Linked DNA regions of Saccharomyces cerevisiae S288C. Each later gene encodes a partner of the first gene's protein in a complex. Each region holds a gene or a part of one and is shown in the gene's direction. Other genes may lie near its edges.

The links. Proteins that work in one complex are often made in the same cells at the same time.
Region 2: TOD6 (region 1) and ASH1 share a complex: the UniProt entries of both Saccharomyces cerevisiae proteins name them as parts of the RPD3C(L) complex.

What each region holds. Positions count from the first base shown.
Region 1 is NC_001134.8:115,426-120,069, forward strand, and holds TOD6 (Tod6p), read left to right. Parts: upstream 1-2,163; coding exon 2,164-3,741; downstream 3,742-4,644. Other genes in the region: YBL055C (3'-5'-exodeoxyribonuclease), read right to left, coding at 148-1,404; SAS3 (histone acetyltransferase), read right to left, coding at 3,954-4,644. UniProt on the Saccharomyces cerevisiae protein: Component of the RPD3 histone deacetylase complex RPD3C(L) responsible for the deacetylation of lysine residues on the N-terminal part of the core histones (H2A, H2B, H3 and H4).
Region 2 is NC_001143.9:92,253-96,901, forward strand, and holds ASH1 (DNA-binding transcription repressor ASH1), read left to right. Parts: upstream 1-2,246; coding exon 2,247-4,013; downstream 4,014-4,649. Other genes in the region: MTR2 (Mtr2p), read right to left, coding at 492-1,046; ornithine decarboxylase SPE1, read left to right, coding at 4,505-4,649. UniProt on the Saccharomyces cerevisiae protein: Component of the RPD3C(L) histone deacetylase complex (HDAC). Responsible for the deacetylation of lysine residues on the N-terminal part of the core histones (H2A, H2B, H3 and H4).

The sequences.
Region 1 (4,644 bases):
TGAAAAAAATAGAAAAAAAAAAAAAAAAAAAATGAAAGCAATATCGACTGTATGTATATGCGCACCATAATTTTCCTATTAATAGTTTAAGCATAATTAGTGTACTTACTAAAAATAATGTAACTTTGCTCTTTGCACCAATAGATGTTACTCTCCAAATATCTTACAGGTCGTCTTCCACGTGGTATCTATCAAAGTAGCCAGATCCACGTCCTTGACTTCCGATACGACAATTGCTACTTGTTCCATATTACAAGGCTCATTACGGCCCTTGACCATGTAAAGTTCTTCTGCATTCAACTTGTCAGCGAGCTTATTTTTCTTAACGGACTTGAATGCAGGGTATTCGAAATCCCTAACCTCCTGGTATTTGGCTAAGTACTGGAAAGATGCATGCGTTCTTTTAATCTCACACCACGGAGCATCTGTCTCTAATAACAACCTTTCTGTTGGTATTTGCTTTACAACAGCTAGATTTTCCTCGGTTCTCAACGAGCAACCGTTTACTCCTATGAAGATGTTGGGTGATAAGTTCAGTAATTTCTGCAAATCTATCGCAGAACCAGTGAATGAATGGACCACTAGTTTTCTATCTGGATGAAATTTGTAAAACCCGCTAGACGACGATGCACCTAACTTTTGTAGCTGAAAGGTATCCCTCTCATCAGTGAACCCGGCAATAAATCTTTCCAATATTTGAACAAAATCGTCACATGCGCTTCTCATATGCAGAAACAATGGATAGCTGCTGAGTTTATCGTTCAAACAACTTATTTTCAGTTGCTCTTCAAAAAAAACCTTTTGCATCTCTTTAGAACTATAGTGAAATCTGTCGTAGTCCAACCCGATCTCACCAATTGACCTGAAACTTGTATCATGAGGTTTTGCTTGCTGATTCATCAAATCATAAAGCTCTTTCAGTTTACCCTGTGCAAAAGATGGATTACTAATAACTTTAGCATATAGAGACTCATTATATGCTTCATCCATGGAAGGGTTATCAATAGAAGCGCTAGCCTTGTCCCCTTGACTAGCATCCGCAAACTCGTTAACGCAACATGGGTGAACACCTATTGTGTGATACAGCTTTAACGGGCTAAGATCTTTGACGCTGCTTACCAACTCAATGGCACTTTGAGACTCCGCTATGGATGATCCTGTAACAAGGGCATTTTTCACGTGCCTCTGAGCAGCACGCTCTAATAATTTTACATAATCTGCTGGATGGTACTGCTTACCATTGTAAATACCGTGAAACATAGGATCTGTCAGATTCAATCCAATATCATAGTATTTCAGCGGAGAATCCGTGGCAGTTGATGTCATGCTATAATATTGTGTCAAAATTGGTTTCCAGAGCCTAGAACAACTTTTGTTCGAGGATTTCAATAAGATGCCCCACATATAACTATAACAGTACTGGCGCCTCAAAAAAATGCCTTGGCAGCGAAAGTGTCCACCTTTAGTTGTCCATTGCTACCAGGACATCACCACTGGGCCCTTCCAGCATGCTGGAAAGATTGTTCTTAGAAGAGTGCTGTTCTAAGTAACCCGGCGTTAGTAGGGGCTAAGCCTTCTAGAAGGCCGGAAAAGGCTCAGAAATGCCTGCAGTGCAAAGCTTTTCAGGAACGTTACTAGCGCAAGTCTTCTGGCTGCTGTTTAGCAACCTCTTTGCAGGTATTTCGCAGCGGGATTTCGCAGGTGTCTTGCCTAGCGTATCAACACTTAGTAGCAGTTAGGTTCTAAAGTTAAACTCCACTTCCGTTCTTCTTCGAGTTCCTTTTTGAGCGGTTTGGCCTATCTTGTCTCATCATCTTGTTAGTGTGCGACGTTATCTGTGGGTGAGAGAGGCTATTTTTGGTCCGGTGAAAAAAAAATTTTTTCTCTGCTGAGAGCTGAAATTTGAAAATTGAGATGAGATGCGATGCGATGAGATGCGAGACCAATGCGATGAGACACTTTTCTACTTCCTTACACAGAAGTCGTGTATAGTTTTTGTACGTTGATATTAATAAAGGCTTTTCATATCATTTTGTTTTCAGGTAAACAAATCTGGCAAATCTCCACTGCTTGAGTCATTAAAACTACTCACTCAAGAAGGCATATACACGACAGTGGGTAGAGAAAAGAATATATCACTGTTCTTATTGAAGTTCCCTCGCGATGACGTTGCCGAAACTCAGTAGCGTTTCTGTTTCATCAGGACATGTTAGTGCCAACTCACATGGTTTCTCAATACTAAGCAAACACCCTCACCCAAATAATCTTGTCCATTCCCACTCACTTTCTCACACAAATGCGAAGAGCCACCTGCCTATCAGTAGCACTAGCACTAAAGAGAACAGCACGAACAAGGAGGAGGCGGAATCACTCAAAAAAAACAACCCCTCTTCTTGGGACCCTAGTGATGATATCAAGCTCCGCCACCTGAAAGAGATCAAGAACTTGGGCTGGAAGGAGATTGCACATCATTTCCCAAATAGAACTCCTAACGCTTGTCAATTCAGATGGAGGAGACTGAAATCAGGCAACTTAAAGTCTAACAAGACCGCAGTTATTGACATCAATAAGCTATTCGGCGTGTATGCGACTGGTGATGCTACCCCATCCGCGGGTACTCCGTCTGCGGAAGAAGCCGTAAAAGAGGAAGCTGTTGAGGATGAAGATATTACTGCAGGTTCTAGTGCTATCGAGGATTCTCCACCGGATTTCAAGCCATTAGTTAAGCCTAAATACATGGACAGAAAACTGATAACTCAAAGATCTACATCAACATTTTCGGACCATGAGCCACAACACACGAAACCAAGGAAACTGTTTGTTAAGCCAAGGTCCTTCTCTCATTCTATAACAACCAACACGCCTAATGTAAAGACTGCTCAGCAGACAAATCTAAGCCTTTATAACACTACTTCAGCAAAGACAAATAAAGCTGTTAATTCCAATGATTATGAGAATATTGGTCTTGTGCCTAAAATTATTATCAGGTCTAGAAGGAACTCCTTTATTCCTTCAACTCAAATCCCTCATTCAACGACGAAGACTAGGAAAAACTCGCATTCCGTAATTTCTTCTAGAAGATCATCTTTTAACATGATGCATTCAAGAAGATCATCCTTCAACTCTCACGCTCCTACGGAGCCTATTTCTAGAAGAGCTTCCTTGGTAGTTAGCCCGTATATGTCACCCAGAAGGTTATCTACATCGCAATCCGTTCATTATCATCCACAGCACCAATACTATCTTAACCCCATAGCGTCTCCCAACTGCAAGACAGACCACGCAAATGACAAAATCACGCACACGAGGACTTTCTTAGATATGCAAAAATTCGCTAATAAACACCCGTGGTCTAGAGAAGATGATGAAGTGCTACTTAACAATACGAAGGACAAACAAAACCATTTGTCGCCGCTAGAAATTTCTATTGTTCTGCCTAATAATAGATCCGAGTTGGAAATCCAACAAAGAATGGATTATTTAAAGAGAAAAGGACGTGTAAGTGGTTTTCATACAAATGAAGGATGCAAAGACGAGGAGGAGGAGGATGACATTGACCCACTGCACAAGGAGAATGGCATTAACACGCCATCGCAGCAATCGCAAAATTACGGTATGTTAGAGGCTAAACATGATAATCCAAAGTCTAGTGAGCTTTCTTCTATGACCAGCGCAAATGACATACGCAATGAGCAAGATGAACTTCCAGGTATAAATTCTATCTTTAAAAATATATTTTAAGCTAAGAGACGAATTTAGTTTGTTTTGACTATTCGTTTAATGAGTACAAATTAATCGCACCCACACATGTACACACACACATATATATCTTTATATATACACATAAAATTTATTCGTAGGAGAATTCTGTAATACTATTGACTACAAGGGTTCTTATTGCTATTAATAATGTTACATGTATATGCTTATATCCAATATATACCCATCGCCGCTTATTCTTCGTCATCCTCTATTAGAGTTATTTTTCTTCTTTTTCTGACTCTCTCCTTCCTTATGTGGCTTTCTATATCGTTTTCATCCTGCTCTTGTCCTTTTCTCTTCCCATCCTCATCATCATCACTGTCTTCTTCATATGTGTCTTCCTCCTCATCATTTTCTTCTGATATTTGCTCATCCTCAATGTCATCATCAAGGGTAAAGTCTTCGTCTTCGTCTTCATCTTCTTTGGCGTTTTCACCTACATATAATTCAGTATCTACATCGTTTTCTACTTCATCCTGCTCTAAACTTGATATTCCAGTATCGTTTCTCCTAGCTGCATGATTTCCAAGTGGTGTTTCGGAGTTTTTAATAGTGAAGCAGAGCTCCCAATGAGTTTCTGTACTAAATTTTGATCTTGGTATCCCTTTGCGATCATGGATGCTTTCCAGCACTCTTTTTTCCGCTTGATAGATTAATCTATCATTATTTGTGTTCTTATAATCACACATATACTCTGTTAAGGAGGAAACAGTGTCTTCAAAAAAATCAGTAGCAGGTACTTCCGGTTCTATGATATTGTTTACATGAAGCTTGGATGTTTTGTGCTCACTACTTCTTCTTCTTCTTCTTCTGCGTTTATTATGTGCTCTACTGTTGTTATAGTTTTCTATATGTGTGTTATTCGAAATTACCGGAGCCATA
Region 2 (4,649 bases), on another chromosome or scaffold:
GTTTCTTCTCTTGATGAAACAAAAAAATGCTAGAAAAACTTTGTCGTTTCTTACTTTTGGTGCGCTTTGCAGTTTTCGTGGCTAGACTTAGAATCATTTCTCCTCAGATTTCTTGATTAAAGTTTGGTGCGAAGCCCTACTCTAACATTGGTGTTCTTCTTTTCATTCACGCAAGTTAAGTCCAGGAAGGTGAGCAAATGCTCATCCTTCTGTTCATGCGTGACGGCTGAATTATCCTTATCTGGCGTACCCGTGCAGCCGTTTCCGTGCCTCGGTTCCTCCGAGATATCCTTAGGGACCGCCAGGGACCATGATTGCGTCAACTGTTGTCACCGCTCCAGAGGATCCTCTGTAACCTTTTCAACCATAAAAATAGAAAGGGCACAGGGTTGGGGTATTTGAATTTTTTTTTTGGGTTTTTTCGTATTACTTATTACTTACCTTCTTTTCTATATAATTTTGTTTTTCCCTGGTAGAGCGGAATCTTCCCACTAAATTTTTAGCAGAGAATCCTCGGGTTTGTAAACCATGTTATAGTTAAACCCCGATATTACACCATTAAAATCATTTCTAAATATGCGGTCGTCGATGATCAGCTGCAGGGAAATGCCAAAATATGGACCCCATAGAGGTCTTGGCTTGTTCATATCGTTGGGTCGATTTCTGTTCCCAGTGTTATTTGGTTGAATGGGAACAGTCGCGTCTTGCCCCATCTTGTCTCTGCCGCTTTCGTCGAATCTGACTTTGCAATTGACGTTGCATATCAACGTGCCGGATCCCGGAATAGCGTGATAGTCTACTCCTGTTAGGGCATGTTGTGTTTGTACGACCTGGTTTTGCCACATTTGCAGAAAAACTGTTGCTTGCGCGAAGGGGGTAGCATTAAATATTATTCTGCAGTTGTTTGGATTAAAAAGCTGTACGAATTGGGCCAATTTGTTGGAGTCCGGATCATCCAAATGCGCTAATATCTTCTTCGTAAATGTGGCCGTTATTTGTGCTTGATTTGCGTCATTCATTACCATAGTATTACTATTGGTGTTCATATTTCTGTTATTACTGTTATTAGTTTGGCGTTTTGCCTGACGATCAGCCTGGTGGGGCCAAGTATATACTATAAAAACAGGTTAGTTACTTGCTCTATGCGTTTGCGCATCCTCTTTTTACTTTTTTTTTTTCAGTAAAGCCTAAGCATAAATCGTTTTATACGTACGACACGTTCAACTTTTCTTGGTTAGTAGTGGCAATCTCTGCAATACATACAGGGAGTCATGGTCTATCATCTTGTCCAATCAAAGAAGCATCGGTTCAGATCGAGCAAACTGTAGGGAGAAAGGAAAGTAGAAATGCAGAGTGTGCTATATGTCCAATCTCGGTTTTGTAGTTTGGATGTCATTAGAGATCTACCACCCAACCGGCTGCTTTCATGTGGAACAGAAAAGAAATCGGGGCGCTTCCTCTTCTGTATTCCTTTAATTAACGTTTTTATTCAGCCATCTAACCATCATACCCCCATACGGTAACAAAACCTCTTCTAAGAAAAGAAGTCTCTGCTCCTCCGCCATCTTATTTTTATTCGCTGCGCGCGTTTATTGTCGCATCGCTAGCCAGCAAAAAGTTGGTTGCCTTTTTTTACCTAAAAAAGACACATCTAACTGATTAGTTTTCCGTTTTAGGATATTGACGCCAAGCGTGCGTCTGATTTCTACGATATGTCTCTAATTTTGGAAGGGCCATTTTATTTTTGAGGATTGGGCTGATCATTTTCCTTACGTGGATTGAGCCAGCAATACAGATCATTATTAAACTGTTTTGTACATGATGTTAGTATATAATCGTAAAGCTTTTCTAATATGTATACCTTATACATGGAACTCCACAGAACTTGCAAACATACCAAAAATCCTTTATTCTTGTTCACTCATTTTACATCAAAAAATAATATTTCAGTTATTAAGGAAAATAAAAAAATAGATTAGAGAAGCATTTTGAAGAAATAGTATATTCTTTTATTGAACCTAAGAGCGTGATATTTTTACTCGAAATAAAATACGAAAAATCTATACACTCATCTTTCCGACTACTATTGGCTCCTGCTCAAAAAAAGAGGGAAAAAAAGCTCCAAAATTCTATCTTTTCCTATCGCTCCTGTCCTATCCTTATTACGTTCATTACTATTTTAATACTATCCATTCTTTTATTTTCAGTCTAAAAAAAACATTTCTCATAACGGGAAAAGCAAAAAAATGTCAAGCTTATACATCAAAACACCACTGCATGCATTATCTGCTGGTCCGGATTCTCATGCAAATAGCTCCTATTATGACAATCTTTTATTGCCTTCATTTTCCAATTTATCCAGTAATATCAGCAGGAACAATATCACAACCGATAACAATATAAATTCAGCAAGTCCTAGGAAGTATTCGTTTCATTCGCTCAATGTGTCGCCAATTCTTTCCCCAATATCTTTGGCTAACGAAATACTTGGAAAAAAATCAAATACTGCACCAGCATCGCCACATCATATGGATTACAATCCAATTTCCTCATTAACACCAGGCAATTCACCAGAATTCAACAAGGCAAGCTTATCTCAGATTAGTTTTACAAATCCATTGAACTATGGGTCTGGCTTAGGTTTTTCCTCTAATTCACAACCTCGACTACCATTGTTAGACAGGCTATCGTCCGTCTCTTTATCTAAGAGACCGGAGCGCCCACAACAAAGCCTACCATCACTAAGGCATCTGCAATTATTACCCAGTCCTCTTTTACAAGAAAACGCAGCACGCTTCCCTGATACATCAAAACGTACATCTAATTGGAAAACTGATCTTACCCATTGGTGTAAGGATACAAACTATCAAGACTATGTTAAAATACGCGAAGAAGTGGCTCATTTCAAGCCATTAAGTATACCCAACTTAACTAATAATCAAAATAATGATAGTTTCAATTACGGCAAGGAATTGGAATCGACTAGGTCGTCCAAGTTCCATTCCCCGTCTAAGGAATCATTTGATCGTACCAAACTAATTCCTTCGATTCTAGAAGCTAAAGATCAATTTAAAGATCTTTCCAACAATGCATGGAGTATTACTCCTCCCGTCACACCGCCGATGAGTCCACCAACCAATAGAACCATGGAGCGCACGACGCTTAGAGGAGTAGAGGCCTCTTTTTTTGAGGGGAAATCCAGCAATAACGATTCAATATTCAATCCAATTATTAGTGAAAAATTGGTTCAAGAAGTTAAACATCAAAGACAATTACGTGGAAATTCATTTCCCATGCCAAATGCCAGTCACAAAAAGACGAACAGTTTCAAAGCTTTGCAAATAAAAAAATTGCTTGCGAATAGAGACATTCTATCGAACAATTCCAAATCTAATGTAAGGAAACCATCTAAGAACAAAATCTCAAAGCAAGCATCAAATGTTTTCGGTAACACTGCAAGACAATTGGTGATGAAACTCGACAACGCTAGTTACAGTTCTGTCTCTGCATCTTCATCTCCATCTCCCTCCACACCGACGAAAAGTGGCAAGATGAGATCAAGATCATCCTCACCTGTGCGTCCCAAGGCATACACTCCAAGCCCAAGGTCACCCAATTATCATAGATTTGCTCTCGACTCTCCCCCTCAAAGCCCTCGAAGATCATCAAATTCAAGCATAACGAAAAAGGGAAGTAGAAGGTCCAGTGGCTCATCACCCACTCGTCACACCACAAGAGTGTGCGTGTCGTGTCATTCGAGTGATTCGCCCTGTTGGAGGCCATCGTGGTCGCCAAGAAAGCAAGATCAGCTATGTAACTCTTGTGGTCTTCGATATAAAAAAACACATACAAGATGTTTGAACGATTTATGTCGTAAGATCCCCACAAAGGGTGAAATAAACATTATGAAATCCAATGGAATAGACAAAGAATTCGTCCCCGAACGCAACTGCGAAATTGAAGGGTACCGTTGCTTATTTTGTAATTACATAACTGAGACAGTAGAGAATTGATACATGGATAACTGAATCTCTTTCAACTAATAAGAGACATTATCACGAAACAATTGTACATTTCTCTCCTTGTCTGTGCTAAATAAACTACAAATAAAAATTCATTTTCTTTCATTTTCATTCGACACGCCGCGGCATCTTCGTTTTCTTCACCGATTAATTTTAATCTGCGCCGTGCAGATATTTTCGCCCATTTCGAAGTGAAATCATTCTAATAACTTCTCCTGCGCAATAGATTGGTCATCCTGATTTTTATTCTGAAATCGAAAATGAAAAGCATTTATTGCACTGAAATAGCGGAACCTGCTTCTAATAAGCTTAAAATTCAATCATAATAGTGTAGTTAATAGAAAGGACAGAAGAACTTTTCGTTCCTTGGTTTATCATCCAGGTTTCAGCACGGCTTTTGTTTCAAGTTTAAGTAGGTAAGATTTTTTGATTGTTCTACAACTTTTTCATAGTAATCAAAACCTTTGAATTTCAAACTTACTATGTCTAGTACTCAAGTAGGAAATGCTCTATCTAGTTCCACTACTACTTTAGTGGACTTGTCTAATTCTACGGTTACCCAAAAGAAGCAATATTATAAAGATGGCGAGACGCTGCACAATCTTTTGCTTGAACTAAAGAATAACC